Linked DNA regions of Macaca fascicularis. The protein of the gene in region 1 purifies or fractionates together with the protein of each later gene. This does not show direct contact. Links are inferred from orthologs where the notes say so. Each region holds a gene or a part of one and is shown on either strand. Other genes may lie near its edges.

Region 1 (15,919 bases):
TCTTTCTTTTTTTTTTTTTTTTTTTTGAGACAGAGTCTCTATCTGTTGCCCAGCCTGGAGTGCAGTGGCACGATCTCTGCTCACGGCAATCTCTGCTCAATGCAATCTCTGTCTCCCGGGTTCTATCGATTCTCCTGCCTCAGCCTCCCAAGTAGCTGGGACTACAGGTGTATGCCACCATGCCTGGCTAATTTTTTGTGTTTTTAGTAGAGACGGTTTCACCATGGGAGCCAGGATGGTCTCAATCTCCTGACCTCGTGATCTGCCCGCCTTGGCCTCCCAAAGTGTTGGGATTACAGATGTGAGCCACTGTGCCCAGCCTGCAAAACCCTTTTAATAAAGTCCCCTTCGACTCTAATTCTGAAATGGAATTGTGAATATTAATATGTTTTCAATTTTTTCATATACCATGGGTATAATTAAATGCTATTATATGTTGTGCCATGCTAGTATCATTATGTAAAATCTGGGTAAAAGTATTTGATTTGCTTAAGATTATGATAGCTTTTTTCTTTTTTTGAGATGGAGTCTTGCTCTGTCACACAGGTTGGAGTGCAGTGGTGGGATCTCGGCTCACTGCAACCTATGCCTCCTGGGTTCAAGATACTCTCCTACCTCAGCTCCCGAGTAACTGAGATTACAATTACAGGCTTCTGCCACCATGCCTGGCAAATTTTTGTATATTTAGTAGAAGTGGGGTTTCGCCATGTTGGCCAGGCTGGTCTTGAACTCCTGACCTCAAGTGATATGCCCGCCTTGGCTTCCCAAAATGCTGGGATTACAGGCATGAGCCACCGTGCCCAGCCAGATTATAATAACTGAATACTTCACAAGATGCAATACAGATTAAGATTAAGTTTAGATATAAGATTATTGCATTATATCTAAGATGTTGAGATTTGGTTTGAAGTTGGTATTTAATCATAATGCAATAAAAAGCACTTATTGAAGGCCTAAAGATTGTGAATGCTTTAAAATCCCATTTAAATTAGCAGTTACTGCCTGGGTGCAGTGGTGGGTGCCTGTATTCTCAGCTACTCAGGAGGCAGAAGCTGGAGAATTGCATAAACCTGGGAGGCTGCAGTGAGCTGAGATCATGCCACTGCACTCCAGCCTGGGCAACAGAGCAAAACTCTTGTCTCAAAATAAATAAATAAATAAATTAGCAGTTATCTTGAGAATTAATTTTATCTGACCCTATAGGTTATTCAGTACCTTGATGTTAGGTTTTAGAATAAAGAGGAGATTGCTTCGTTGGTCTTGAGGTTAGAGCAGTCTTCATGACAGCAAGGACAGAGATCTAAAGGGAAAGGCTTTTTCTTTTTTTTTTTTGAGGCGGAGTCTCGCTCTGTCGCCCAGGCTGGAGTGCAGTGGCGCGATCTCGGCTCACTGCAAGCTCCGCCTCCCGGGTTCCCGCCATTCTCCTGCCTCAGCCTCCCGAGTAGCTGGGACTACAGGCGCCGCCACCACGCCCGGCTAATTTTTTTGTATTTTTAGTGGAGACGGGGTTTCATTGTGTTAGCCAGGATGGTCTCGATCTCCTGACCTCGTGATCCGCCCGTCTCGGCCTCCCAAAGTGCTGGGATTACAGGCTTGAGCCACCGCGCCCGGCCGGGAAAGGCTTTTTCAAATGGGATCATTTTACTTACGGAAGAGATGCTCATTTTATTTTATTTTATTTTTATATTTTATTTTATTTTATTTTGAGATGGAGTCTTCCTGTGTTGCCCAGGCTAGAGTGCAGTGGGGCGATATCAGCTCACTGTAACCTCTGCCTCCTGGGTTCATGCGATTCTCCTGCCTTAGCCTCCCGAGTAGCTGGGATTACAGGCATGCACCACCATGCCCAGCTAATTTTTGCATTTTTAGCAGAGAGGGGTTTTCGCCATGTTGACCAGGCTGGTCTCGAAGTCCTGACCTCAGGCAATCCACCCGCCTCGGTCTCCTAAAGTGCTGGGATTACAGGCATGAGTCATCGCGCTGGGCCAGATGCTCATCTTTAAGTAATGGGCACTTTATTGTAAGGACGTGTGAAAATAGGAAAACTGGGACTGTTCCATATTTGGGCTTCATGGAACCCGGGAAGAGCTGCATAAGCAGTTCGCTTTGGGAAGACACAGCCTTTCGCTCAGCTGAACGTGGTTTTGGGAACTGGAGGTTCTTCTAGATCCTGATTTTTCTTCTTGCTCCCCACCCCAGCAACAGTTTTTTGATTTCTTATCCTGTTGTCTCCCATTGGTGTGACTATTCTGTCTCTTCTGTCTATGTTCTGTGGTTCTAGTTTGAACTGCCTCAGGGACGAGCTCTTACTGGTTCAGCTAACTCTCACTGCTCTGTTGAGCTAAGCTTTTGCACCAACTGGACCACTGGGCAGCCTAGAGATTGTTGGTTGCCCTTGGCGTCAGATACTCACTCCTGGTCTGTCAGCTTTGGATGATGTGGTGGGGTCCCTGGGAAGAGCACATTGCCAACTGTGAGAAGGAGCTTCCTCTTTCTCCAGTCCCCTGCCCTGCCCTGCCCCTATTCTTACCAGGAAAGTCTTCCCCAGAAGGGACTGCGGGGAGTGGTATTCATTTTGATGTTTGACTTGTCCAGTATATTGTTTGTTTGTTTGTTTTTGAGACAGAGTCTAGCTCTGTCACCCAGGCTGGAGTGCAGTGGCATAATCTCAGCTCACTGCAACCTCTGCCTCCCGGGTTCAAGTGATTCTCCTGCCTCAGCCCCCTGAGTAGCTGGGATTACAGGCGTCCACCACCACACCCAACTAATTTTTGTATTTTTAGTAGAGACGAGGTTTCACTGTGTTGGCCAGGCTGGTCTCAAACTCCTTACCTCGTGATCTGCCCTCCTCAGCCTCCCAAAATGCTGGGATTACAAATGTGAGCCACCACGCCTGGCCTGATATTGTTTGTTTATTCAACTACAGAATATAATTTATCTATTTAAAAGCACCATAAAAATGAAGTCAATTGACTGGGAAATGATTTGAAATACATGCCTGGCTGCTAACAACAGGGGCAAAACATGAACTACAAATGGCATATAAGCAGATAAGAAGAACTATTTAACCTCATGGTGACGGGTCACACAACTGCAAATTAAAACTGTAAAAAACTTAGTAATGATCAGGGCTCAGGGTGGTGTAGCAGTTAAGAGCCCAAACTGATGTGAGACTCAGCTTGACCAAGCACTAGCTGTCAGTCACTTAAACTCTGAGCTTCATCAACTTTATCCCCCTCCATATGTAGCTGGATATATTTATTTCTTTAGCAGAGACAGGGGTTTTGCCTTGTTGCCCAGCCTGGTCTCAAACTCCTGGGCTCAAGCCATCTTCCCGCCCTGGCCTCCTGAAGTGCTGGGATTATGGGCATAAGCCACTACACCTGGCAGAATTTTCGTTTTTATAAAAATTCAAGTTATTTGGTTTTGTGACTCTGTTGCCTTCTGCAGAAATGAAGCTGTTGTCATTTCTGGAAGGAAACTGGCCCAGGAGATCAAGCAGGAAGTGCGGCAGGAGGTAGAAGAGTGGGTGGCCTCAGGCAACAAGCGGCCACACCTGAGCGTGATCCTGGTTGGGGAGAATCCTGCAAGTCACTCCTACGTCCTCAACAAAACCAGGGCAGCTGCAGATGTGGGTATGTGTCCTTTTGAGACCTCGAATGCTGTTCAGTTGAGGTTTATATGAGGCAAAGTCCATTGTAATTTATGATTTCTTTTTTCTGATTAGGAAACCCAAGCAGAGGAGGCTAATGTGATTGAACTGTATCCCAAAACTTTGTCATAGGAAATCAGACTGTATCTTTCAGGGTTTATAGACTAGGACAGGAGATACTTACTGGTTGGTATTCTCTGTGGCTTCTGGAAAGAATATAAGGCACGTTCTGTTCTTAGTCTTTCCATTTGATAGGTGACCCTGAATACATTTTACATTTGCTTTCCTTGAGCAATAATGGGTCTCCAGCAGAGGTGTTCGAGTGTTTGCAGTTTAAAGCCTTAGAGGCTTAGGGGGCATGATTGAACAATACAGTATTAGGAGATCTCAGTGATGAGGTCAGGAACACAGTCATAGATTTGAAGGAAATGACTCTTGACTTCTGGGAAAGAGCTTTCAAGTTCTTCACCGATTGGTTCTAAAGGCAAACGTGCAGTTTAGAAGCAGTTCGGGTCTGGATGATGGGGTTTGTGTTCTAGGCCTCATGGTACCACAGATTACTATGTGTCTGTGGACAAGAGGTGGGTGGGCAGACTCAGATATGCCTCTGCCTGCCCATCTGTGGGCCCGTGGTCTGAGCATGAGCAGCAGGTGGCCTTTCCTTCTGAAGGGCTGTGAAACCACTGGCATGGCTGGGAGGGGTTACTGGCCTGTGAGCCCGTGGTTTCCTCTATTCTTTACCATTGAGGATTGAGGCCTCCTGCTCTTTTAATGGAAAGCCTTTAGAAACTTCTAGAAAATGGCAAGCCATGGCTTTTTTTTTTTTTTTTTGAGATGGTGTTTCTCTCTCGTTGCCCAGGCCGGAGGACAATGGCGCAGTCTCAGCTCTCCACAACCTCCGCCTCCTGCCTCAGCCTCCCGAGTAGCCGGGATTACAGGCGTGCGCCACCATGCCTGGCCAATTTTGTATTTTCAGTTGAGATGGGGTTTCTCCCTGTTGGTCAGGCTGGTGTCAAACTCCCCGACCTCAGGTGATCCGCCCGCCTCGGCCTCCCAAAGTGCTGGGATTACAGGCGTGAGCCACTGTGCCTGGCCAAGCCATGGCATTTTAAGACATTGGGAGGTAGTGTGGTGCAGAAAAAAAGAGCATGGATTTTGAAACCAGAAAGACTGGCTGTATTATTAGCTCGCTTATTTTTATTTTTTATTTATTTATTTATTTTTTTTGAGACGGAGTCTCGCTTTGTGGCCCAGGCTGGAGTGCAGTGGCCGGATCTCAGCTCACTGCAAGCTCCGCCTCCTGGGTTTATGCCATTCTCCTGCCTCAGCCTCTCGAGTAGCTGGGACTACAGGCGCCCACCACCTCGCCCGGCTAGTTTTTTGTATTTTTTAGTAGAGATGGGGTTTCACCGTGTTAGCCAGGATGGTCTCGATCTCCTGACCTCGTGATCCGCCTGTCTCGGCCTCCCAAAGTGCTGGGATTACAGGCTTGAGCCACCGCGCCCGGCCAGCTCGCTTATTTAGTTATTTATTTAGACATGAGTCTTGCTTGCTCTGTTGAGCCGGCTGGAATGCAGTGGTGAGATCTCAGCTCACTGCAACTCCCACCTCCCAGGTTCAAGCGATTCTCCTGCCTCAGCCTACTGAGTAGCTGGGACTACAGGCACCCACCACCATGCCCGGCGAATGTTTTGTATTTTTAGTAGAGACGGGTTTTCACCGTGTTAGCCAGGATGGTCTCCATCTCCTGACCCCATGATCCGCCGGTCTTGGCCTCCCAAAGTGCTGGGATTACAGGCATGAGCCACGCGCCTGGCCTAGCTCGCTTATTTTTAAATCTCTCTGAGCCTCAGTCTGTCTGTAAAATAAGGTTAATGAGGATTGCATAGAATGAGGTATACAGGATGTGTTAAGCTAGTATTCTCTAGTGTATATATTTGTGAAGTTACTTTTTTAGGTTCCTTGAGCTACTTCAGCTTCTAGGGATGGGTGTGATGATACAAAACCTGTATGGTAGCCAAGTATGGTAGGCAACATAGCAGTGCTCATTAAATGCCTCAAAAATTTTTTTAACCTCAAAATTTCCTATAATAGGAATAAACAGTGAGACAATTGTGAAACCAGCTTCAATTTCAGAGGAAGAATTGTTGAATTTAATCAATAAACTGAATAATGATGATAATGTAGATGGCCTCCTTGTTCAGCTGCCTCTTCCAGGTGAGTTTTGGACTCTACCATTTAAATGATTGCTGCTGCTTCTGCTCCTCCCCCTCCCCCTCTCCCTCCCTCTCTTCCTCTCCCTCCCTCTCTGCCTCTCCCTCCCTCTCTGCCTCTCCCTCCCCCTCCCTCTCCCTCTCCTTTCCTTGTCTCACTCTGTCACCCAGGCTGGAGTGCAATGGTACAATCATAGCTTATTGCATGCTCAAGCTCCTGGGTTCAAGGGATCCTCCTGCCTCAGCCTCCCACATAGCTAGGACTATAGGTGTGTGCCACCATGCCCAGCTACTTTTTATATTTTTCCTAGAAATGGAAGTCTTTCTGTGTTGCCTGGGCTGGTCTTGGACTCCGTGCTTCCCAAGTGCTGGAATTACAGGCATGAACTACCATGCCCTACCTAAAATGATTTCTGAGGAGTAAAAAGGCCTTGTTATTTTATACACCTGGCTCTTCATGTGGATTTGGCTTAAAGGCAAAGTAAACGCAAAAGAGTGAATATTTTATTAGAATGGGACAGACCAACTCAGAATACCCATTACCCCTTGATTTAGTATTGGGGTCTTGATATGAAGGACAGTGGAGGGAAGCAACTGAGAGATGATACTGGCTTTGCTATTGGTGTTTGGCTTTGCTTATGCGAGTTCCTTCCATGCAGATGAAGTACATCTCGGAGGCAAGCTGTAGAAGAATGGATTTCCTTGAGGAAGCAGATAAGCTGGAGTCAGGCAGTGCTGACTGTGAGGTGGTGATTTAAGGCAACTGCCGATTTCTTTTTCAGAGCATATTGATGAGAGAAGGATCTGCAATGCTGTTTCTCCAGACAAGGATGTTGATGGCTTTCATGTAATTAATGTAGGGCGAATGTGTTTGGACCAGTATTCCATGTTACCGGCTACCCCATGGGGTGTTTGGGAAATAATTAAGCGAACTGGTAGGTATATCCCAGAATTGTATGTCTGTTAATATTATAAAAGTACCTGCAAATGGTAAAAACTCATAATACAGTCCCAAAGAGTGGAAACCCCACCCCATATCCTCTAGTCATACTCCCCAGAGTTTACCTCTCTTAACAGTTTTTTTTTTTTGGTTTTTTTTTTGTTTGTTTGTTTGTTTTGAGACAGGGTCTTGCTCTGTGACCCAGGCTGGAGTGCAGAGGCGCAATCTTGGCTCATTGCAGCCTCCGCCTCCTGGGTTCAAGTGATTCTTGTGCCTCAGCCTCCTGAGTAGCTGGGACTACAGGCACACGCCACCATGCCCAGCTAATTTTTTTATTTCTAGTAGAGACAGGTTTCACCACATTGGCCAAGCTGGTCTCGAACTAACCTCAAGTGATCCGCCCCCTCACCTCCCAAAGTACTAGGATTAGAGGCATGATCCATCATGCCTGCCCTTAACAGTTGCCTATGACAGTTTTTGCTTTTAATCTGGAAGCCTCGGTGAGGGAAACTTTCTTTTTTTCTTTTTAATCTTTTCTTTAAGAGTCAAAGGTTTCACCATGCTGCCAGGCTGGTCTCAAACTCCTGGCCTCAGGCAGTTCTCCTACCTTAGCCTCCCTGGCCTCAAGCAATCCAACCTCCTGCTGGGATTACAGGTGTGAGCCACCACCCCAGCCCTCAGTGAAGGAAATTTAAGATTTAATAGTGGTGACAGTGCACATTCCTGTAACATTTTGTAGCCTATAGTATGCTTTCTCCTGTTTTCTTTTAGCCCTTATGTGTAGCAAGTTACAGCTCCAGTTGACTGATGAGGCAGTAAGCTCAGTGACTTCACTATCAAAATTGGCTTCATGTTCTAGGCCATCTGACTTTGTTTTGCTTTGGACTGGCACTACTTTTAATGTAAACACATATATTTTTATAGGTATTCCAACCTTAGGGAAGAATGTGGTTGTGGCTGGAAGGTCAAAAAATGTTGGAATGCCCATTGCAATGTTACTGCACACAGATGGGGCGCATGAACGTCCCGGAGGTAAGGAAATTGCTTTCAGGGAACACTGTCCCTTTTTCCCCATGTAAGAACTCTCAGAAGCCATCCTGTGCATTTTTGGAAGTATTAACTGTGTTATACTTTGTATTTGTTGAAATTTTGTTAACAGATAATTCAGGGAGTAACCTTTGTAGAGAAGCTGCACCCAGTGTCGCCTGAGTTTCTTTATTATTCATGTATCATGTAACTAGCTTCAGAAATAAACTTAAGTTTTGAGTATAAGCATGATTATAGGCAATTAGAAAATTTCAGCTATAGCTTTGATAGCTGGAGCTAAGGAGCAGTTCTTATTCAAAGATACTGTGTCATTTAGTGGAAAAAATCTTAAGCCGTTGCAAAGGATTGAATTGATATGACTGTAATGTGTCCTGTCAAGTTCTGTTAATTGGTTCTAAGGTAAAGCCTCGTGAATCTGTTATCACATAATTATTGTAATAATGACCTTACATGATTATATCAGAAATAATGGCAAAACTATACTTTCAACAATCTTCAACATACTTAAAACAACCTTGAGTAATTCTAGTGATATTTTGCTTAGAAAAGGTAAAATTCTTGAAAGGCTTTAAAAATACGATGAATAAATTTAATTATATGACTCAAAACAGTCGAGCTGCCGGGCGCAGTGACTCAAGCCTGTAATCCCAGCACTTTGGGAGGCCGAGGCGGGTGGATCACGAGGTCAGGAGATCGAGACCATCCTGGCTAACATGGTGAAACCCCGTCTCTACTAAAAATACAAAAAACTAGCCGGGCGTGGTGGCGGGCGCCTGTAGTCCCAGCTACTCGGAGGCTGAGGCGGGAGAATGGTGTGAACCCGGGAGGCGGAGCTTGCAGTGAGCCGAGATCGCGCCACTGCACTCCAGCCTGGGCGACACAGCGAGACTCCGTCTCAAAAAAAAAAAAAACAGTCGAGCTAGGACCAATGGTTTAAAGCTATATGAAATTAGGTATTAATTTTAAAAAAGTAAATGACAATTAGCTGTCCAGAAAATATGGCACAAGCCATTAAGTCAGTTTTTTGTTTGTTTGTTTTTGGAGAGGGAGTCTTGCTCTGTTGCCCAGGCTGGAGTGCAGTGGCACAATCTTGGCTCACTGTAACCTCCACCTCCCAGGTTCAAGCGATTCTCGTGCCTCAGCCTCCCAAGAAAGCTGTGATTACAGCCATGCACCACCACACCCAGCTAATTTTTGTATTTTTAGTAGAGATGGGGTTTCACTATGTTGGCCAGGTTGGCCTTGAACTCCTGACCTCATGATCTGCCCACCTTGACCTCCCAAAGTGCTGGGATTACAGGCGTGAGCCACCGCACTATTGTTGAGTTTCTACAGTGACTTGACTAGTTGAGACCTAATCCAGTCCCAGCTTTGTGTCAGAAATCAAGACATCTATTGTTTTCTTTCTAGGTGATGCCACTGTTACAATATCTCATCGATATACTCCCAAAGAGCAGTTGAAGAAACATACAATTCTTGCAGATATTGTAATATCTGCTGCAGGTAAGAACACAAGGTGAATGGAGGGAAGGGGAGGTTGTACCCCTCATCTTAGAATTCGCCTGCCTAGCTACTATTCATCCTTCCCCTCATGATGATTCTTTGAGCTGCCTACAAAGATGAGGATAGAGTTGTGATTGGAATACTGGTTTCTAGCATTCCATTATAGTCTGGATGGGTGAATGTTATTCCTAAAGCTTCAAAATATTTATATTAATATTTACTGTATAAAGTTCAAACGGTTCCTTTTGTTTCCTGTCAGGAACCAAAATAAATAATAAAAGTAAATGGTTCCTTAGTTAATATTTTTAACAGGTTTTAATAAAACATGTTAATTTGGGCCGGGCGCGGTGGCTCAAGCCTGTAATCCCAGCACTTTGGGAGGCCGAGGCGGGCGGATCACAAGGTCAGGAGATCGAGACCACAGTGAAACCCCGTCTCTACTAAAAATACAAAAAATTAGCCGGGCGCGGTGGCGGGCGCCTGTAGTCCCAGCTACTCAGGAGGCTGAGGCAGGAGAATGGCGGGAACCCGGGAGGCGGAGCTTGCAGTGAGCCGAGATCGCGCCACTGCACTCCAGCCTGGGCAACAGCGTGAGACTCCGTCTCAAAAAAATAAATAAATAAAATAAAACATGTTAATTAGTTCTTCTAGGTCTCTTGAAATTGAAATTAGACAACAGTCTGACAGGTAGACTGTTTTCAGTACTAAGCTTTTTTTCCTTTCTCCATTTCCAGGTATTCCAAATCTGATCACAGCAGATATGATCAAGGAAGGAGCAGCAGTCATTGATGTGGGAATAAATAGAGTTCATGATCCTGTAACTGCCAAACCCAAGTTGGTTGGAGATGTGGATTTTGAAGGTAAATGGTAAAATTTTATTTTTAAAAATGAAATCAATAAGTACTACCTTTCATGGACATTTAGAATAGATTATTTACTTTTTTTTTTTGAGATGGGAGTCTCACTCTGTTGCCCAGGCTGGAGTGCAGTGGTGTGATCTTGGCTCACTGCAACCTCTGCCTCCCAGGTTCAGGCGATTCTTCTGCCTCAGCCTCCAGAGTAGCTGGGACTCCCAAAGTGTTGGGATTATAGGTATGAGTCACTGCACCTAGTCCGTATGCGTTTCCCTCCCTCCCTCCCTCCCTCCATCCATCCATCTTCCTCTTCTTTCTCTCTTTCTCTTTCCTCCTCCCTCCCTCCCTTCTTTCCTTTTCCTTTTTTTCTTTCTTTCTTTCTTTCTTTCTTTCTTTCTTTCTCTCTCTGTCTCTTCCTTCCTTCCTTCCTTTCCTTTCCTTTCTTTCTTTTTTCTTCTTTCTGTCTCTCTTTTTCTTTCTTCTTTTTTTAAAAACAGTCTCATTCTGTCACCCAGGCTGGAGTGCAGTGGCACCATCTCGGCTCACTGCAACCTCCACCTCACAGCTTCAAGCAATTCTTGTGCTTTCAAGCCTCCCCAGTAGCCAGGATTACAAGCATGTGCCACCACGCCCACCTAATTTTTTGTATTTTTGGTAGAGATGGGGTTTCGCCATGTTGGCCACGCTGGTCTGATCACTCCTCAAGTGATCCTCCCACCTTGGCCTTCCAAAGTGCTGGGATTACAGGTGTGAGCCACTGCACCTGGCCTTAGTATGCTTTTCATAAGAATTAGAGAAACCGGCCGGGCGCGGTGGCTCAAGCCTGTAATCCCAGCACTTTGGGAGGCCGAGGCGGGTGGATCACGAGGTCAGGAGATCGAGACCATCCTGGCTAACACGGTGAAACCCCGTCTCTACTAAAAAATACAAAAAACTAGCCGGGCGAGGTGTGGGCGCCTGTAGTCCCAGCTACTCGGGAGGCTGAGGCAGGAGAATGGCGTGAACCCGGGAGGCGGAGCTTGCAGTGAGCTGAGATCTGGCCACTGCACTCCAGCCTGGGTGACAGAGCGAGACTCCGTCTCAAAAAAAAAAAAAAAAAAAAAGAATTAGAGAAACCTTTTTAAAATTACAGCCATTCTAGAATTATTTTAGTTGTTTCATCATAGTGATGGAGAGCAGTTATAAACTTTTCAGGGAATTGTTTTTTTCCTTAGAACTTACTTCATAATTCAAGCAATTTCTTGACTTTTAACAAGTTTGAAAATTTGATGAAGTGATTTTTATAAACCATGGAGTCTCCCAAAAAGTGTTGAGAGTTCCCATTTTCACACTGAGACATCACAGGCCTAGCAAGTTAAAATGGTCCAGGAAAAAACCATACCCCTGAAATACTAGAATATACTAGTAGATGTCTCTTTTCAGTTATTTTTTTAAGAGGCAGTCTCACTCTGTTGCCCAGGCTGTAGTACAGTGGCGTGATTTCTGCTCACTGCAACCTCTGCTTCCCAGGTTCAAGTGATTCTCCTGCCTTAGCCACCCGAGCAGCTAGGATTACAGGCATGTGCCACCACGCCGGCTAATTTTTTGTATTTTCAGTAGAGATGAGTTTGGCTCTGTTGACCAGGTTGGTCTTGAACTCCTGGCCTTAAGTGATCTGCCTGCCTCAGCCTCTCAAAGTGCTAGGATTACAGGTGTGAGCCACTGCACCTGGCCTCTCCCTTCAGTTCTTAAGATAGAATGTTTATCTGAATATATGCTGATAATCCTTTTTTTTTCTTTCCTTTTTTTTTTTTTTTTTTTTTTTTGAGACAGGGTCCCTCTCTTTTGCCCAGGCTGGAGTACAGTAGCATGATCTCAGCTCACTGCAGCCTCTGCCTCCTGGGCTTAAGCAGTTCTCCTGCCTCAGCCTCCTGAGTAGCTGGTACTATAGGCACATGTCACCTTGCTTGGCTAATTTTTGTATTTTTTGTAGAGATGGGGTTTCACCATGTTGCCTAGGCTGGTTTCAAACTCCTGGCCTCAAACAATCTCCCCCACCTCACACTCTGCCTCAGTCCCCCAAAGTGCTGGGGTTACAGGCATGAACCACTGTACCCAGCCTATGCTGATAATCCTATTCCTAGCTTTCTGTTTTTATTAAAGCAGTCAAACCCATGCCTAGGTATGTAAGGATTTTCACTTTAACATTAGGGTAATTTTTTTTTTTTTTTTTACTTCTCACTTTTAAAAAATTACTGTGCTTTCTGCTTTGGACAAATTATACTTAATAAAATGCTGTAGGCAGCTATTGAGGTAATGCTTATTATTATTATACTTACAACTCCCACGCAGTTAACCTACTAGATGTTTAATAGATTTCTTTATAGGTTACTTAGATGTATAAATATTCCTTTAACAATTCTGTATGTGCATGTTATTTTACTAGTGTATTCACAAAACCTTGAATGATGTAGATGTGATTTTTGAGTTTTATGCTTATGTATGTTACTTTTTCCTTCCTTGCATGCTTGTTTCATAATATATTAAAGTACACACATGTCCTTTGCCATAACTAAAGCAGCCTGCCTGTCTTGTTTCTATGTAGGAGTCAGACAAAAAGCCGGGTATATCACTCCAGTTCCTGGAGGTGTTGGCCCCATGACAGTGGCAATGCTAATGAAGAATACCATTATTGCTGCAAAAAAGGTGCTGAGGCTTGAAGAGCGAGAAGTGCTGAAGTCTAAAGAGCTTGGAGTAGCCACTAATTAACTATTGTGTCTTCTATGTCACAAACAGCACTCCAGGCCAGCTCAAGAAGAAAAGCAGGCCAATAGAAATGCAATATTTTTTATTTATTCTACTGAAATGGTTTAAAATGATGCCTTGTATTTATTGAAAGCTTAAATGGGTGGGTGTTTCTGCACGTACCTCTGCAGTACCTCACCAGGGAGCATTCCAGTATCATGCAGGGTCCTGTGATCTAGCCAGGAGCAGCCATTAACCTAGTGATTAATGTGGGAGACATTACCATATGGAGAATGGACGCTTCCCTTTGTCAAACTTGGTTACACATTTGCCTTTTCTAGGATTGCATTTCCCAAGTGCTATTCTAATAACAGTTGAATACTCATTTTAGGTACCAAACCTTTTGAGTTCAACTGATCAAACCAAAGGAAAAGTATTGCTAGAGAAAATTAGGGAAAAGGTGAAAAAGAAAAAATGGTAGTAATTGAGCAGAAAAAAAATTACTCTAATTTATATGTGTATTGATTGGTAACCAGATTTATCTAAGTAGAACTGAATTGGCTAGGAAAAAAGAAAAACTACATGTTAATCGTTTTCCTAAGCTGTCTTTTTGAGGTTTAGTCATTGGGAAAATGTTTAGGATTATTCCTTGCTATTAGTACTCATTTTATGTATGTTACCCTTCAGTAAGTTCTCCCCATTTTAGTTTTCTAGGATTGAAAGGCTTCTTTTATACATTATTCATGTGTGTTGTCATATTTGGCTTTTGCTATATACTTTAACTTCATTGTTAAATTTTTGTATAGTTTCTTTGGTGTATCTTAAAACCTATTTTTGAAAAACAAACTTAGCTTGATAATCATTTGGGCAGCTTGGGTAAGTATGCAACTTACTTTTCCACCAAAGAACTGTCAGCAACTGCCTGTTTTTCTGTGATGTATGTACCCTGTTGACTTTTCCATAAATTTTTTAAGAGTTTGAGTTAATATTGAATTTAATTAGATTTTCTGATTAAAGGTTTTTTTTTTTCTTTTTTAATAAAACACATCTGTCTGGTGTGGTATGAATTTCTGAAATTCTGTCTTCCTATGACTCTTAGTTGAGACTGAACCGGAGTTTTTTTCTCATTTAATCAATGTAGATATTCCTATATTCAGTAACACTTAATCCTATAGCCTTAAATAGATAATTTTTTTTTCTTTCTTTTTTTTTTTTTTTTTTTTTTTTTGGTAGAGATGGGGTCTTGCTATGTTGCCTGGGCTGATATTGAACTCCTGGCCTCAAGCAATCAGTCCTCTTGCCTCAGCCTCCCAGAGGGCTGGGATTACAGGCCTGGGCCACCCACGCCCAAACAGAGGTTTAAAGAGCTTTGGCGAAACCAGCCTCGTTCTCCAGCCTTTTTTTTTTTTTTTGAGACTGAGTCTCGCTCTGTTGCCCAGGCTGGAGTGTAGTGGCATGATCTCGGGTCACTGCAACCTCTGCCTCTTGGGTTCAAACAATTCTTGTGCCTCACCCTCCTGAGTAGCTGGGATTACAGGTGCATGCCACTGTGCCCTGCTAATTTTTGTGTTTTTAGTGAGACGGGGTTTCATCACGTTGACCAGGCTGATCTCAAATTCCTGACCTCAAGTGATCCACCTGCCTCGGCCTCCCAAAATGCTAGGATTACAGGTGTGAGCCACTGCACTGGGCCTGTCCTATAGTCTTATATCCCAACAGATTGTGCCGAGCTAGGAGCTTAATCTGTTAAATACTTGAGGTAGGTTTCTTGTCTATTTTGGCTTTTGGCTTTCAGGCAAGCAGAAGCAGCTCCTGCTCTAGGCAGCTTGAGGCAGAAAGAGAACAGTTGAGTTGACCTACCTCCATCCTTGTTCTTCTGCCAGCTGGCGTTATTCTTTTCATAGTTCTCTGGAGTTGAAAGAAGTTTCGGTAGTTTGTTGGAGATGTTTTTGTAAGTGAGGTATAGCTCATGTCTATAAGCCATGCCTACTTACTTACCTAGATTATTAAACATGGAGCTAGATGACCAGACAGCATTAAATTTTATTGAATTACAGTTACAAGTGGAACAAATGACTGACTGACTGCATGGAGAAGTATTATGCCAACCTGTTAAAAGCTATGGAGATTAAAATGTTCATGTATATACAAAATATAAATGACATGTAGGGTAAAATTACAGTGATCAATTTACAACAAAGAAATTAACAGTAATTTTCCAGCTTGTCTGATTAATCAAGCAGGTTTACTCTTGAATCCATAGCATTTCTACAATTTAATTTGGACAAAGTTCTATTCCAAATCAGCCAGGTTTTAAAACTGAAATGTTAAGGGTGGATTGTTAGCTTCCCCAGGATTGGAGCGGATGATAATAAAATACTTTTTAGAAACATTAATTATTATTTATAAGACATGGGTTCCAGCTGTCTCCTTGGCTGGAGTGCGGTGGCATGATCATAATTCACTGCAGCCTTGAACTCCTGGGCTTAAAGGATCGTCCTGCCTCAGCCTCCAAAATGGCTGGGACTACAGGCGTGTGCCAGCATGCCTGGCTAATTTTTAAACATTTGTTTAGAGATGGGTCTCACTATGTTGCCCAGGCTGGTCTTGACCTCCTGACCTCTACTGATCCCCCAACCTCAGCCTCCCAAGCAGCGGGATTACAGGTGTGAGCCACTGTGCTGGCAAGAATTTATACTTAAGCAAAGGAGATGGTTCTGGATTAGCTAAGAAATTCTGCTCTCAGTAGTAGAGGTTTAGAGCTTTACCTCTTGGCAGTATCCCTTGGAAGGGAGCTCTGAGATTAAATGTAATCAAACACTTATTGAGAGCTTTCTGTGGACCGGGCACTCCACTAGACTCGGGATTACAGAGGCCAGTTACCTGTCCTGATCTGTTAATGATCTAGTGTCATTTTTCTTTAAAAAAGAAAGCACCTGCATTTGTCATCTTGAGCAAATATAGTAACCAAAGTGATTTACTCAAG
Region 2 (15,280 bases), on another chromosome or scaffold:
GGGTACTGGTGTGGGTGTCTGGAGTACTGAGCATGCTGGGGTACTGGCATGGGTGTGTGGGGTACTGAGCATGCTGGGGGTACTGGCATGGGTGTGTGGGGTACTGAGCATGCTGGGGGTACTGCGTGGGTGTGTGGAGTACTGAGCATGCTGGGGTACTGGCATGGGTGTGTGGGGTACTCAGCATGCTAGGGGTACTGCATGGGTGTGTGGAGTACTGAGCGTGCTGGGGTACTGGCATGGGTGTGTGGGGTACTGAGCGTGCTGGGGTACTGGCATGGGTGTGTGGGGTACTGAGTGTGCTGGGGGTACTGGCGTGGTGTGCGGGGTCCTAAGTGCATTGCCCTCTGCCTGTACCTGACACAGACCTCAGGTCAGAGATCAACCCTAAGGAAGTCAATAGGCGGCCCGAGAGGTGAGGACAGCTTTGTCATAACCAGGAAATGTGCGTTGTTTACGGAGAGGCCTGGCCATGGCTGTGGCCATGGTGGGGTGGGATGAGGCTCACCAAAGTTCCCCAGGCTGCCCTCACGGGTGTCCACACACATCTCCAGCGCCCTCACCAGCCGAAGGTCATCCACCCGGGCCAGGGCCTGCTGTAGAAACCAACCGGGACTCAGTGCTGATCCTGGCTCTCCCCACTTTAGTTTCATCCTTGCTTCTGGCTGCAGGACTCTGGGGTTCCCGCTGGAGTGGGCACCGACCTTTCCCTGCCTTGGCCATGTTGGCCCTGGTCTGGGTGGTGGGATGGAAATGGACGTGACATGAGCAGAGCTTGGGCTGCACTTGGCTGGAGGGCCACTGCCAGAGAAGGACCTGCCTTGGGGGCTGCCCATCTCCAAAGAGACTCCCAGGGCAGACACACCACATCCGGCACCCAGAGCCCGGACCGCGCCTGGCCCTGCCCTGAGCTTTGAGCCGTCTGGTCTCCTGCTTGAGTGAAGGACCAACCCCCTCTTTGGTTGGAGGATAATGGACGCTCAGCCCCTACTTGTGGGTTCTGGCCCAAATGCCTGGGGACATCTGTGTCACCGAGCACCTGGTGTTGCTGGTGTTTTGGGGTCTGGTAGGGGTCCCAAAGGCAGAGTGGGCGGAGTGGACCCAGCTGCAGGGGCCAGGCTGAGGCCAACCATCAGCAGGCAAGACCAGCAAGAGGGGGACAGAGGGCAGGCTGGATCACCAGCAGAAAGGAGCCCTGGGATTTCACCCCACACAGGCCTCTGTGGCCACAGCCCCCAGCACCCACACTCACCAGTCGGGCAGGGGACAGGTACTCTTCCACCAGCTGCTCTCCAAGGCTGTCCCTCTGGCTGCCAGGGCCCTTGCTCTGTGGGCAGGGGTTGTGCAGGCCTTGCCAGCTCAGCTCCCGCACCCGGAAGCTGGAGGTGCTCGGCCGAGGCCCACGGGATCTGTCCCAGCCTGGGTCCATTCACATGTAACCTGCTGACAGAGGCAGAGCGCAAAGCTCCAAGCTGTTGCTCCTCCTCCTCTGTAGCCTGGCTGAGACCCTGACACAGCCCTCAACCCCCTGCCCCCGCCAACACACACATCAAGCCCTTGGCACCCACCCCCACCCTGAGCCTAGAGAAGGCTCCTAGCTTGGCTGGGCCTCATGGAGCCCTAGTCTGCTTAGTTTCAGCCTGGAGGGCCTCACGTTCCCCTCCCCGAGCCTTGGCTCGACCCCCTCTGCTCCGTAGGACGCCCTCCCTATGTTTCTGCCCATCCTCAGGGTCCATGCAGGGAGTGCTGGCTCCAGGCCTCCCCACCTGAGGACCATGAGGGCTGTGAGCCTGATGGTGCCAGGCCAGCTGCCTGTGGCTATGGGGCTCCCGGGGCTGCCTCAATCTGTGGGCTATGGGTCCTTCTCCACCTGATGGTCTCTGAGCCTGGGGTCCAGGATCAGGTCCCAGGCCTTCCCCTACCCCACCCCTGTGCCAGCCAAACCCCTTCTCCTGCAGGCAGCTGCTTTCTTCTGCTGTGGGTCAAACATCCAGGCAAGGAGGCGGCATGTGCCCTCAGGCAGTACCTGCAAGAGTCAGGGTGGCTTCCTGGCCAGGTTACTGTGCCCAGGGGAACCTGGAATGGGCCGGGCTGAGGTCACAGCACCCAGAGGTGAGCAGGTCAGCCCAGGACCTGACCATCCACGGGGCCAGCTGGCGAGGAGGAAGACAGAGTCAGGTGTGTGACCGATGCTAGGGTATCTCTGGGTTCCCCAACACGATGCCTGCTGCTATTCCAAATCCCACTTCCCTCCTTCTCCACAGGGGTCCTCTCTTGCACCCCGTTCTTCCTGAGCCCCTCTCCAGGCCTCTGAGGGTGTTGGCCCAGTGTGTCCCTCTCCTGTACCCCGTTCTTTCTAAGCCCACTGTATCCATCGACCACCTGCACCAGGCTTACCTAGTGTTGCCCCTTAAAGATGCAGACGTCTGGCAGGGCGCAGTGGTTCACGCCTATAATCCCAGCACTCTGGGAAGCTGAGGCGGGCAGATCACGAGGTCAGGAGATGGAGACCATCCTGGCTAACACGGTGAAACCCCGACTGTACTAAAAATACAAAAAATTAGCGGGGCGTGGTGGCAGGCGCCTGTAGTCCCAGCTACTTGGGAGGCTGAGGCAGGAGAATGGCGTGAACCCAGGAGGCAGAGCTTGCCGTGAGCCGAGATCCGGCCACTGCACTCCAGCCTGGGCGACAGAGCGAGACTCTGTCTCAAAAAAAAAAAAAAAAAAAAAAAAAAAAGCAGACATCTGCCTCGGCCGCAGACCCTGGAATCACGAGCTCCAGGGGTGCAGTGAGAAATGTGCTTGGAGCATCCAGCATCCTCCTCCCTGACCACCTTCCTCTGTTCCGTCTGGACCTGGACTGACTCCTTGAGAGCACTCCTCACCCAGCCTCTCCCCACCCAGCCTTCCCAGATTTATCTTCCTGATGAGACAAATTCTCTTTGGAGCCCTGTGTGTCTTACTATGTGTTCGGTTGAGGGCCTGCCTCGCCCCAGCGCTGTGGGCTGCACGTGGCCTGCACGTGGCCTGGGTGCTCCTCTGCTATCCACAGCCGCAGGAGACGACGCTCAAATATTTGTGGAAGGAATCCGTGAACAGGCAGATGCACATGTAGCCACTTAGAACTTTCTGGCCGTGGCTTTCATCTGTTGACCACATATGGACATTGAAGATGTATCCTCTCCATCCTGTCTACAGCTGCCCCTGCGCCAGGCGAGTTGGCCGGCCGTTGACAGAGGTGGTGGGCGGGAGTGTTGGAGCAGGGCCGCGGCTCAGGCTCCGGGTGCCTCAGTGGCCTGGTCTGGAAGGTGACCATGCACCAAGAATCAAAGAAGATAAGCTCAAAATAGAGTCTCATGGAGTTTCCAGCCAGAATCTCCCCCACTGCCTGCCTTTCTCCAGATGGTGGAAGGCCCCAGGCCTCACAGCAGGACCCCACCACTGCGTTCCCCCAAAGACTCTGGCCACCTCCATCCCAGGCCTGCCAGTCTTGAGCCTCATGGAGTACGTGAGCTGGCCGGGTCATGCGCAGCCCCAGGACATCTATGGGTGGCACTAAGGGCTGAGTCAGCCACCCTTGTCTCCTCTGTGCCCAAGAGCCCGAGTATCAGGCTGGTCTGAGCCCCAAGGCCTAGGGGTGCAAGGACCAGGGGTTGGAGGCTGTGGAGTCCCAAGCCCCCACTGGACTCCCACCTCAGACACTGCTCCTGGTGTTCTCGCCCAGGCCTGAACCCATCCGCACACTTCGCAGTCCTGCTCCTACCCTGTGTCCCCTCTGCGAGCCCCCATGCTCCCCAAATTGGAAACTGGAGGAATTCTGTCTCCACACCCCAGCTAGTGCCATTCCCTGGTGGGTAGCTCATCACCTCTGGTCCCCTGCAGCCCTTGCCCCTTCACCATGGACGCTGGGAGGGCAGAGCCCGCTCCCCTGCTGAGCCCCACCCTGGAACTCCAAGCACCCTGGGTCCTTGCCTCTGCATCTCCCTCAGGGGCAAGGCTTGGGGCCCCTCCTGCCTCCTGACAGGGAGCCCCTTCAGTGCAGGGCCAGGGGGTGGTGGAGGCAAGGGTCCCCAGGGGACCAGATCTGACGTGCGGGGCCTCCACTGGGTCCCCGTTGGCTGTGCTGCTTAGTCCCCGCGCCCTCGCCTCGGCGCAGGCTCCCTCCTGCCACCAGGCATACGGCGAGGCCTGTGGCTCCCACCCCAAGGGTGCGCTCGGCTCTCACCTGAGGGCTCAGCCCAGGTGTCCGGCCCTGGCAGCTCGGCCCTGGGCGCCCTCCGCCGCCAGGCGCTGTCTCCTACTCCAGGCTGTTCTTCCGGCTGCGGGGTTGCGGCCTGGGTCCCATGGCAACGTGGGCGGGTCCTCATTTGAATACGCAAATATTTATAAGCCGCAGGAGGCTCGGGTTCTGAGGGGCTGAGCCACGCCCCTTAGCAACGGTCGCTAGGGCGGGGCCACGTGAGTTGGCACTTGGGTGGGCGATCCCGGGGGAGGTGACGCGCCACCAAGTCGGGTGGGCGCAGGCGCGTCAGGTGCCAGCTCCCTGCGGCTCCGTGCCCGGGCCGTCGCGGTGCACGTGTCGCGTTTCCTCGCGATCCCGGCGCTTCCCACGCGGGGCCGGCAAGGGCGGTCTCTGCTGGAGGCTCCCGCCCACCTTTCCCACGTGGAAGGGTCGCCCCTGGGGTCGAGGCCTGACGCCCTGACCTTCGATTGGAAGTGAGGCCGACAGCAAAAGGAAGCACCGGGGCAAGCGCCCCGGAGGACCAGGAAACACAGACCGGATGCCGAAGCGCGCCCGAGTGCCCGGCCCGTGGGACACGCCGCCGCCCGCCGTTCAGTCGCCGCCTCTCACCTGCGTTCATGCGCGTCCGCCCCGAGCCGGGCTCTGACTGCGACCGCGCGGTGGATGGACGGCAGGCGGGACCCCCGGGACCGCACGTGGGTGGAGCCCCGGGTCAGCGGCGACCGGCGCAGGAGGGCGTGGCGGCGGGGCGGGCACTGGGTTGGGCAGAGGCAGGGTTTGCCTGACCGTAAAACGCCTTTTTTTCTTTTAAACGCCTTTTTTTTGAGACGAAGTTGCGCTCTGTCACCCAGGCCGGAGTGCAGTGGCGCGATCTCGGCTCACCGCAACATTCGCCACCCGGGTTCCAGCGATTCTCCTGCCTCAGCCTCCTGAGTAGTTGGGCCTACAGGCTCGCGCCACTGCAGCCGACTAATTTTTTGCATTTTTAGTAGAGACGGGATTTCATCATGTTGGCCAGGCCGGTCTTGAACTCCTGACCTCAAGTAATCCACCGGCCTAGGCCTCCCAAAGTGCTGGGATTATAGGCGTGAGCCACCGCGGCCGGCCCCTTTTGCTTTTTTTTTTTTTTTTTTTTTTTTTTTTTTAGACGGAGTCTCGCTCTGCCACCCAGGCTGGAGTGCAGTGGCCGGATCTCAGCTCACTGCAAGCTCCGCCTCCCGGGTTCACGCCATTCTCCTGCCTCAGCCTCCCAAGTAGCTGGGACTACAGGCGCCCGCCACCTCGCCCGGCTAGTTTTTTGTATTTTTTAGTAGAGACGGGGTTTCACCGTGTCAGCCAGGATGGCCCTTTTGCTTTTTAATGAGAATGTATTTCTGATTCCTTTGCAATTTAAAAAAATGTTAAAAAAAAAAAAAAAAACACGTCTTTTGGGGTTTGAAAGAGCTAGGATGTGGTCTTTGTGCTTGGGGTGAGCCCTGGGCACTTCGCTCTCCTGTGGCAACCTGTAGGTACCGTTTAACTGCACCACGCTGAGCTTCTGCATGGTTGGAACCTCAAGTCTGGGGGGACTGAGCGGGCAGGGTCGCCTGCCACGCAGGCCCAAGTAAGAGAAGTGGTGGAGGGGGCGTTCTCACGCCTGGCCCCAGGGAGCACGGCTGCGCCCGCCGCTCGAAACCCCACCGGAGCTGCAAGGCGTCCTCGGGGTGGGCTGAGGTGGGAGTAGGGGAGCTGGGGTGCGTGTGGTAGGTGGGGTGCGCGGAGGAGGCGGGGTGCGCACCGTCCGGGTGCGGGGCCACTCCACCTGCGCGGAAGGGGAGCCGGGCAACCGGACCCCGCGGCCACCCGGGGGCCCCCAGCTCCGAGCGGCCCGCCTTGGTCCCGACGGATCCCAGCCTTTCCTCAGCCGGAGCCCCGGGACCTCCGCGGTGGGCGACGCCGCGCTGCGGACGCAGGGAGGGCCTCGAGTGCACGGGCGCCGCTGAGTCGGGTTCTCTCGCCGGCCTGTTCCCGGGAGAGTCCACGGCCCTGCTCGGATATGCCGCCGCAGGCCCCCAGACACCTGCTCCCTCGCCCTCCTTGAGCAACCCCGAGCTTGCCTCCGCTCGCCGGCCTAGCCCAACCCCCCGAGGCCGCGGCCCTTCTGGCTCCGCCTCCCGCGTTGCTCCCGGAAGCCCTGCCCGACCGCGGCTCCTGACAGACGGGCCGCTCAGCCAACCGGGGCGGGGCGGGGCCTGGTGTAGCGAGGCCAATGGTAGGTCGCGCAGGGCTGACGGACGGGCGCGGGGTGGGGCGTGCGCGAGCCCGGCCGAGTCTCCGCCGCCCGCTCCCTGCGCCTGCAGCCCCAGCCGCACCCGCCGCGGACGGAGCCCATGCGCGGGGAGAACCGCGCGCCCCCGCCCCCGCCCCCCCCTGGCCTCGGCCCCGGCCCCGGGGGCAGTCGCGCCACTGAGCGGTGAGTGCGGGCCGGGGTCGGCCGGGCCGCGCGCCCTCCCCGCCCCCAGGCGGCAGCCATACGCGCGGCGCGGGCCGGGGGCGCGGGACCGGCGGGCGTGAGCGGCTGCGGCGGCGGTAGTGGGTGGGTGGGGCCGGGCCGGGCCGGGCGGGGCCCCCAGGCACAGGTGAGCGGGCGTCGGGGGCTGCGGCTGGCGGGGGCGGGCTGAGGCCCCTTAGTCCCTGGGGCCTGCGGGAATCCGGGCCCCGCCCGTGGCCTCGCTCTGGGCACGGTCCTCACGCCGGCGTCCCCGGGAGCCTCGGGCCCGGCGCCCTCATAACCAGGCGCGTCTGGGCGGAGGCGGCCGCGGCCACGGCACGCCCGGGCACCCCCGATTCAGCATCACAGGTCGCGGACGAGGCCGGGGGCCTCAGCCCCAGGGCCCTTCCCCTCTCCGGGTCTCCCGCGCCGCCTCTCGGCCCCTTCCTGTGGCTCAGCCCCTGCTTCCCAGGAGCCCCTCTGTCTTTTCCAGCTTTCTGTGGCTGAAAGATGCCCCCGGTTCCCCGCCGGGGGCGCGGGGCGCTGCCCGGGTCTGCCCTCCCCTCAGCGGCGCCTAGCACGCAGTAGGCGCTCAGCAAATACTTGTCGGAGGCACCAGCGCCACGGGGCCTGCAGGCTGGCACTGGCCTGCCCGGGCACGCCGTGGCGCGCTCCGCCGTGGCCAGACCTGTTTAGGAGGACGGTAACCTCAGCCCTCGGGCGCCTCCCTTTAGTCTTTCTGCCGACCCAGCAGCTTCTAATTTGGTTGAGAGCGCTCAGCTGTCAGCCCTGCCTTTGGAGGCTGGCTCCCTTTTCCCCTCACTGGGTCCTTAACAGCAAGTGGGGGCGAGGCGACAGCCCTCCCCCGCGCTGGTTTGCAGCTGCACAGGTAGGCACGCTGCAGTCCTTGCTGCCTGGCGTTGGGACCCAGGGCCCGCTATGGGTTTGCTCTTCAGATGGCTCTGCCAGCAGCTGCCCTGTGGGGCCTGGGCCTGGCTGAGCAGGACCATCCTTGGCAGGTGGGGCAGGAGACCCTGTAGGACCCCGGGCCGCAGGCCCCTGAGGAGCAATGACGGAATATAAGCTCGTGGTGGTGGGCGCCGGCGGTGTGGGCAAGAGTGCGCTGACCATCCAGCTGATCCAGAACCACTTCGTGGACGAATACGACCCCACGATAGAGGTGAGCCTGGCGCCGCCGTCCAGGTCCCGGCAGCTGCTGTGGGCGAGCCCAGGACACAGCCAGGATAGGGGTGGCTGCGGCCCCTGGCCCTGCATGGTGCTCTGGGCCTGTCTCCTGCTTCCTCCAGAGAAGGGGAGCCCCTCGTCTCAGCACCCCAGGAGAGGGGGCATGAGAGGGGCATGAGGGGGCATGAGAGGGGCATGAGAGGTACAGGGAGAGGCTGGCATTGTGAACTCCCCGCATGGAGGGTCCTGAGGGGTCCCTGAGCTCTGTCCTCCTGCAGGACTCCTACCGGAAACAGGTGGTCATTGATGGGGAGACGTGCCTGTTGGACATCCTGGACACAGCCGGCCAAGAGGAGTACAGCGCCATGCGGGACCAGTACATGCGCACGGGGGAAGGCTTCCTGTGTGTGTTTGCCATCAACAACACCAAGTCCTTTGAGGACATCCACCAGTACAGGTGAACCCCTTGAGGCTGGCCCGGGAGCCCATGAGGCACAAGTGGGGTCAGGCCGGCTGTGCCCAGACAGGGGCCTCCTGTCCTCTCTGTGCATGTCCTGGATGCAGTCGTGCCTGCAGCCCCTATAGCCAGCTCTCACTTTTCCTCCCAGGGAGCAGATCAAGCGGGTGAAGGACTCAGACGACGTGCCCATGGTGCTGGTGGGGAACAAGTGTGACCTGGCTGCACGCACCGTGGAGTCTCGGCAGGCTCAGGACCTCGCCCGAAGCTATGGTATCCCCTACATTGAGACCTCGGCCAAGACGCGACAGGTGAGGCAGCTCTCCAGCCCACAGCTAGCCAGGGACTCGCCCCGCCCCGCCCCAGCCAGGGAGCAGCACTCACTCACCCCTCTCCCTTGACACAGGGCAGCCGCTCTGGCTCTGGCTCCAGCTCCGGGACCCTCTGGGACCCCCCGGGACCCATGTGACCCAGCGGCCCCTCGCGCTGTAAGTCTCCCGGGACGGCAGGGCAGTGAGGGAGGCAAGGGCCGGGGTCTGGGCTCACGCCCTGCAGTCCTGGGCCGACACAGCTCCGGGGAAGGCGGAGGTCCTTGGGGAGAGCTGCCCTGAGCCAGGCCGGAGCGGTGACCCTGGGGCCCAGCCCCTCTTGTCCCCAGAGTGTCCCACGGGCACCTGTTGGTTCTGAGTCTTAGTGAGGCTGCTGGGGACACTGGCCATAGCTCAGATGAGAGCTGGGTGCAGGGTGGTCAAACCCTGGCCAGATCTGGAGTTCAGGAGGGTCCTGGGCCACCCTGACCTTTGAGGGGCTGCTGTAGCGTGGTGCAGGTGGCCCTGGGCTCTTCGAGATGACCAGAGCCCAGCTTCCTGTGTGTGTGGTGGGCCTGGGGAAGTGGCTGGTGGAGTCGGGAGCCTTGGGCCAGGCACGGCTTGATCGCACAGCAGGGAACCCCTCACCTAGGCAGGGGGCCACAGGCCTGTCCCTCCTGATCCCATTTCTCCTTTTCCAGGGAGTAGAGGATGCCTTTTACACATTGGTGCGTGAGATTCGGCAGCATAAGCTGCGGAAGCTGAACCCTCCTGATGAGAGTGGCCCCGGCTGCATGAGCTGCAAGTGTGTGCTCTCCTGACGCAGGTGAGGGGGCTCCCAGGGCGGCCGCCACGCCCACCGGATGACCCCGGGCTCCCCACCCCTGCCGGTCTCCTCGCCTGCGATCAGCAGCCTCTTTTGTGCCCCGCCCAGCACAAGCTCAGGACATGGAGGTGCCGGATGCAGGGAGGAGGTGCAGACGGAAGGAAGGAGGAGGAAGGACGGACGGAAGCAAGGAAGGAAGGAAGGGCTGCTGGAGCCCAGCCACCCAGGGACCATGGGCCGAAGTGACCGCAGACCCTCCCAGGGATGCTTTGCACAGACTGTCTTGAGCATCCCAGATGCTACCAGAACCCCAGCCCTTAGCTCCCCTCCCAGGCCTCTGTGGGCCCTTGTCAGGCGCAGATGGGATCGCAGTAAATTATTGGATGGTCTTGACCTTGGATTTTGGCTGAGGGTGGGACACGGTGCACGTGTGGCCTGGCGTGAGGTATGTCGGAACCTCGGGCCTGTCCAGCCTTGGGCTCTCCACAGCCTTTGGGAGGGGGAGGTTGGGAGAGGCTGGTCAGGGGTCTGGGCTGTGCTGCTGTCTCCTCCTGCCTGCCCCAGAGTGTCCATGGATTCCGGCAGAGAGCTCTGGACAAGCAGGCAGATCATAAGGAGAGCTTACTGCGCTGCTACCAACTAGGAGGGCATCACGGTTCTCCAGAGGGAGGTGATTTCAGGGGTTGGGGATCTGTGCCGGCGGCTCTGGTCTCTACCTGGGAGCCGCCTTGGCAGTGAGAGGCGTCGCTTTTCCTGACTTTTTCCCATGGTGAAATGCACCTGCCAAGAATGGCAGACATAGGGACTCTGCCTCCTGGGCCTTCACATACCCAGTTTTCTTCATCTCTCTGGCCTGGAGCAGTCTGTGGACCTTGGAATTAGGGCTCCAGCACCGACTGGCCTCAGGCCTCTGCCTTATTGGTGGTCGGGTGGCGGCCACTAGGGCGTGGGAGCCTGGCCATCCCTGCCTCCTGGAGTGGACGAGGTTGGCAGCTGGTCCGCCTGCTCTCGCCCCGCCCTCCCCCGCCCCTGCCCTCACCCCACCCTCGCCCCGCCCCTGCCTCATGGCTGGCTGCTCTTGGAGCCTGGTAGCGTCACTGGTTCGGCCTTGCTGGGTACGCACAGGCTCAGCCATCCACTCTGCTCCAAGGGGCTTGCCCTGCCTTGGGCCAAGTTCTATGTCTGGCCACAGCCACAGAGTGCTCAGTCACCCGTGTGGTCATTTTGGCTGCTGCTGGAGGCCCACGGCACCCCTGGTGCCCCTCCCCTCCCAGGGCTCGGGTTGAAGCTGGGCCAGGCCTCTCTGGGATGGGGACTTGTGCCCTGTCAGGGGTCCCCGTCGCAGAGGTTGGGCAAGAGACTGCAGGGCGTGCTGCTGGCCGGCCAGGGCTGCAGGGACGCCACACTCACCCTTCTGTCCAGGAGATGCCACACTTGCCCTTCTCTCCAGCAGCCTCCAAGTGACCAGCTTCCCCATCGATACAGACTTCCTGAGGCCAGGAGCCCTTTGGGGCTGCCAGGTACTGCCCTGGCTCCTTCCACACCGTGCCGGTCACTGCCTGCCGAGGGGGTCAGATGCAGGTGACCCTGTGCAGGGGGGTGTCTCTGGACCTGCCTCTTGGTCATTATGGGGCTGGGCAGGGCCTGGTGTCAGGTCCCCACTGGGGTTGCAGGGCTTGACCCGTGCTGTGGTCCTGGGGTATCCAGGACAGACGCGGAGGGGACAGGGCCCAGCACCGCTGCTCCATGCTGAACTGTGGAAAGCACCAGGTCCCTGGGTGGCTTCGACAGGAGTTCCAGCACGGGAACCACTGGACAACCTGGGGTCTGTCCTGATACCCAGGGTCCAGGGACTCTGGCCAGCCACAGCCAGGGTCCTGGGGACTCCAGAGAGCAGCCCACTGCCCTGGGCTCCACGAAGCCCCCTCATGCCACTAGGCCTTGGCCTCGGGGACAGCCTGGCCAGGCCAGTGTGTGGGAGGACCAGGCCCCCTTGTGGGAGCGGACATTGCCTTGGCCGTGCTCTCCAGCCCTGTCCCCTGGCATTCCGGAGCTGCGCTGATGGGCAGCGGAGAGCCAGCTCATCCCCTTAAGGAGGGTCTTGATGTCTGGGGTTACCTGCGGAGGCTAGGCCCCATGGATCTGGGTCCCTGTGTAGCCCCCCCCCCGGTCTGATGCTGGGGACGCCCCTGCAAATTGCCAATCCCAGAGAACAAGACTGTGGGAGGGCTGTGTGGGGAGAGCCCGTCCCTGCACCCTGACCCGCAAATCCACGGCTCTCTCATTGTCCACAACTGCCGGAGAACAGAGGGCTCCGTGTCTGGCCGTCCCCCAGCAAGCAACAGTGACTGCATCTGAAGTCTGAGCTGCTGAGACCCCCTCCTGCAGGGACCCATCTTCTGGCAAAAACCTGGACTGAGGACCACCCTCTGCCCACACCCAGGGGGCCCATCCTGGCGGCTCTTGCAGTGCCAGGCTCTGCCCCATCAGGGTCTGGGGTCTCAGCCAGATTTGTGTCCAGGGCAGGGAGGCTGCAGAGGTTAGGTTGGGTCCAGCGCAGGGCAGGGCTGGAGAGCACGGCCAAGGTTGGGTCTGTCTCCTCCCCCCTGACCTCGGATGTCACTTCTCAAATGCGTGCGTTCGTATCCACCCCATGGGGTTGCCATGAGGTGAATGACACAGTCGTTTGCACAGTCCGCGTGGAACGGGCACCCGCTGAGTGCTCAGGGATGACCCTTGGCAGCCACATGGAGGCCAGCGCAGGCCACCTGGTAGTGACCGTCGCCATACCATGGGGTAGGGCAGCTGTGCTGAGACCCACCTCTTGCCTTTGGATGCAGAGCCCCTCTCGGACACCCGCCGTGTCCCCACCTACTCCACACATGCTGGGCACTTGGCACCGGTGACATTGTGGGGTGGCTGCAGATGTCACAACAGCGCCCTGCCCAGGTCAACCGGGCCTGGAGTCAGTGTCCACCCCCTGAACTGTCAGCGTGTGAGTGCACGTGTATGTGGGTGAACGTGTGTGTGTGTGTGTTCTCCAGCTAGGCCTGGCTGTCCCACTCACGTGCACACAGGTCTAAGTCACTGTCACCCCCGTGGCCTGAGGCGATCGTCAGAGCATCCGCAGGGGCACCACACTCAGCCCTCTCCACCTGGGGTGGTCATGGGGATGCAGATGCGGGGAGGGGGCTGGCCCCCTCCCTCGGTGGACTCAGGTCTTGTGTAAAGGGCTGGGTTCAGTGCCCGTGTCTCACCTTCTGGAGGAGCCCTCCTGGGTGCCGTGAATGTCCCCCTTGCTGGAGGCTGCAAGGTCCCAAGGACAAGCCCCCTGCCTGAGGTCCCCCAGCCGCCCGCTGACCAGGTCCCACTGATTGACAGACCCTGCTGGGCTGCCAAGAGGGTGGAGGAAGCCTGGCGGGAGGTGGGGGACTCATCTGTGTGACATCAGCTTCCGTCCCACCTGCCGCCTGCCCCTCGGATCACATCGCTGCTCAGGATTCGCCACCAGCTGCCTCCTCGCAATGGAGCCCTCTGATAGCCGAGAGCCTGCCACAGCCATCCCCCACAGCCACGCGTAAACTCTCCCAACATCCATCCAGGGAGGCCTGGATAAAGATGCAGGGTTTCAGGCCGGGCGCGGTGGCTCACACCTGCAATCCCAGCACTTTGGAAGGCGGAGGTGAGTGAATCACCTGAGGTCGGGAGTTCAAGACCAGCCTGGCCATCATGGTGAAACCCCGTCTCTAATAAAAATAGGAAAATTAGCCGGGCGTGGTAGCAGGCGCCTATAATCCCAGCTACTCGGGAGGCTGAGGCAGGGGAATCGCTTGAACCCGGTAGGTGGAGGTTGCCGTGAGCTGAGATAGCACCACTGCACTCCAGCCTGGGCAACAAAGCAAGACTTGTCTCAAAAACAAAAAACAGGCCAGGCGCGGTGGCTCACGCCTGTAATCCCAGCACTTTGGGAGGCTGAGGCGGGCGGATCATGAGGTCAGGAGATGAAGACCATCCTGGCTAACACAGTGAAACCCCGTCTCTACTAAAAATACAAAAATTAACTGGGCGTAGTGGCGGGCGCCTGTAGTCCCAGCTACTGGGCAGACTGAGGCAGGAGAATGGCGTGAACCTGGGAGGCACAGTTTGCAGTGAGCCGAGATGGTTCCCCTGCACTCCAGCCTGAGCGACACAGCGAGACTCCATCTCAAAAACAAAACAAACCAAACAAAAACCTTACCCTACCGTTTTGCTAAGCGAGAAATTCTGCACAATTCCTCTGCTGTTAGGCAATAGTCAAACTCAGAAGCAGAAAGTAGGGTGGCCGTGGTCAGGGGCTGGGGAGCGGAGCTGGGAGCTGCTGTTCAACTGGTAACAGATTTCAGTCTGGGAAGATGCGTGAGTCCCGGAGTTCACTGTGCATGGTGCCTGTGGTTAGCAATGGCGCATGACACATTGCAAAAAAAAATTTTTTTTGAGACAGAGTCTCGCTTTGTTGCGCAGGCTGGAGTGCAGTGGTACAATCTCGGTTCACTGCAACCTCCGCCTCCCAGGTTCAAGTGATTCTCCTGTCTCAGCCTCCCCAGTAGCTGGGACTACAGGCACCTGCCACCATACCCGGCTAATTTTTGTATTTTTAGTAGAGACGGGGTTTTGCCATGTTGGCCAGGTTGGTCTCGAACTCCTGACCTCAGGTGATCCACCCGCCTTGGCCTCCCGAAGTGCTGGGATTACAGGTGTGAGCCACCGCACCCAACTACTGAGTAGTATTTCTTTTCTTTTTTTTTTTTTTTTGAGACGGAGTCTCGCTCTGTCACCCAGGCTGGAGTGCAGTGGCCGGATCTCTGCTCACTGCAAGCTCCGCCTCCCGGGTTTACGCCATTCTCCTGCCTCAGCCTCCCGTACTGAGTAGTATTTCTTTGTAGGGATGTAGCACAGGTTGTTTACCTGCTAAAGAATATTTAGTTCGCTGCCAGGTCTTGCCTGTTACGACTGGAGCCTCCATAGGCATTTGCGTACCGTGCCCCTGAGGACATAGACTTTCAGTTTGTTAGGGAAGACACCAGGGGCAGGGTTGCTGGGTCCTGTGGTGCGTGCCTGACTCTGCACATGACTCTCCAGCTTGCCAGGCCGCTTGCCTTCTCAGCCTTCTCAGCCAGGACGCATCGGAGTCCTGCCGCCGTGATTTTCATCTTGGGCGTGTTGCGGGATCTCATTATGGTTTCAGTTTGCAGTCTGCTGGTGGCCACAGCCTGGGCATCTCCTTAGCACTGCTGTGTGTGCTGCAGGTGCCCTTTGCTGAAGTTTTTGTTCAAGTCTTCATCTTATTTTTGGTTTTGTTTGTTTTTATTTCATTATTATTTTTGAGATGGAGTCTCACTGTTGCCCAGGCTAGAGTGCAGTGGCGCACATCTTGGCTCACTGTAGCCTCCGCCTCACAGGTTCAAGCGATTCTCCTGCCTCAGCCTCCCGAGTAGCTGGGACTACAGGCATCCGCCACCACGCCTGGCTAATTTTTTGTACTTTTATTAGAGACGGGGTTTCACCACGTTGCCCAAACTGGTCTTGAACTCCTGACCTCAGGTGATCTGCCTGCCTTGGCCTCCCAAAGGGAAGGATCATGACGGGATTACAGGTATGAGCCACCCGCCTGGCCTATTTTTTATTATTTCATTTTATTTATATCGGACAGGCTGGAGTGCAGTGATCATGGCTCACAGCAACCTCGACCTCCCAGGCTAATTTAAAATTTTTTTTTTTTTTCCCTAGAGACGTGGTCTCGCCATGTTGTCCA

Evidence for each region.
Region 2: the proteins of MTHFD2 (region 1) and HRAS purify together in Homo sapiens (co-immunoprecipitation; 4 studies listed by BioGRID and IntAct, with this or other methods). This does not show direct contact. The link is inferred for Macaca fascicularis from reciprocal best matches to the Homo sapiens genes MTHFD2 and HRAS.

What each region holds. Positions count from the first base shown.
Region 1 is NC_088387.1:47,735,568-47,751,486, reverse strand, and holds the end of MTHFD2 (bifunctional methylenetetrahydrofolate dehydrogenase/cyclohydrolase, mitochondrial), read left to right. Parts: intron 1-3,450; coding exon 3,451-3,635; intron 3,636-5,746; coding exon 5,747-5,869; intron 5,870-6,647; coding exon 6,648-6,800; intron 6,801-7,729; coding exon 7,730-7,837; intron 7,838-9,262; coding exon 9,263-9,355; intron 9,356-10,089; coding exon 10,090-10,215; intron 10,216-12,793; coding exon 12,794-12,957; 3' UTR 12,958-14,009; downstream 14,010-15,919. UniProt on the Homo sapiens protein: Although its dehydrogenase activity is NAD-specific, it can also utilize NADP at a reduced efficiency.
Region 2 is NC_088388.1:425,541-440,820, reverse strand, and holds HRAS (GTPase HRas), read left to right. Parts: upstream 1-4,521; 5' UTR 4,522-4,938; exon of another isoform or gene 4,939-4,954; intron 4,955-6,550; exon of another isoform or gene 6,551-6,695; intron 6,696-7,732; 5' UTR 7,733-7,782; coding exon 7,783-7,893; intron 7,894-8,176; coding exon 8,177-8,355; intron 8,356-8,506; coding exon 8,507-8,666; intron 8,667-8,761; exon of another isoform or gene 8,762-8,843; intron 8,844-9,364; coding exon 9,365-9,484; 3' UTR 9,485-9,489; intron 9,490-9,597; 3' UTR 9,598-9,882; downstream 9,883-15,280. Other genes in the region: LRRC56 (leucine-rich repeat-containing protein 56), read right to left, coding at 509-596, 1,253-1,429. UniProt on the Homo sapiens protein: Involved in the activation of Ras protein signal transduction. Ras proteins bind GDP/GTP and possess intrinsic GTPase activity.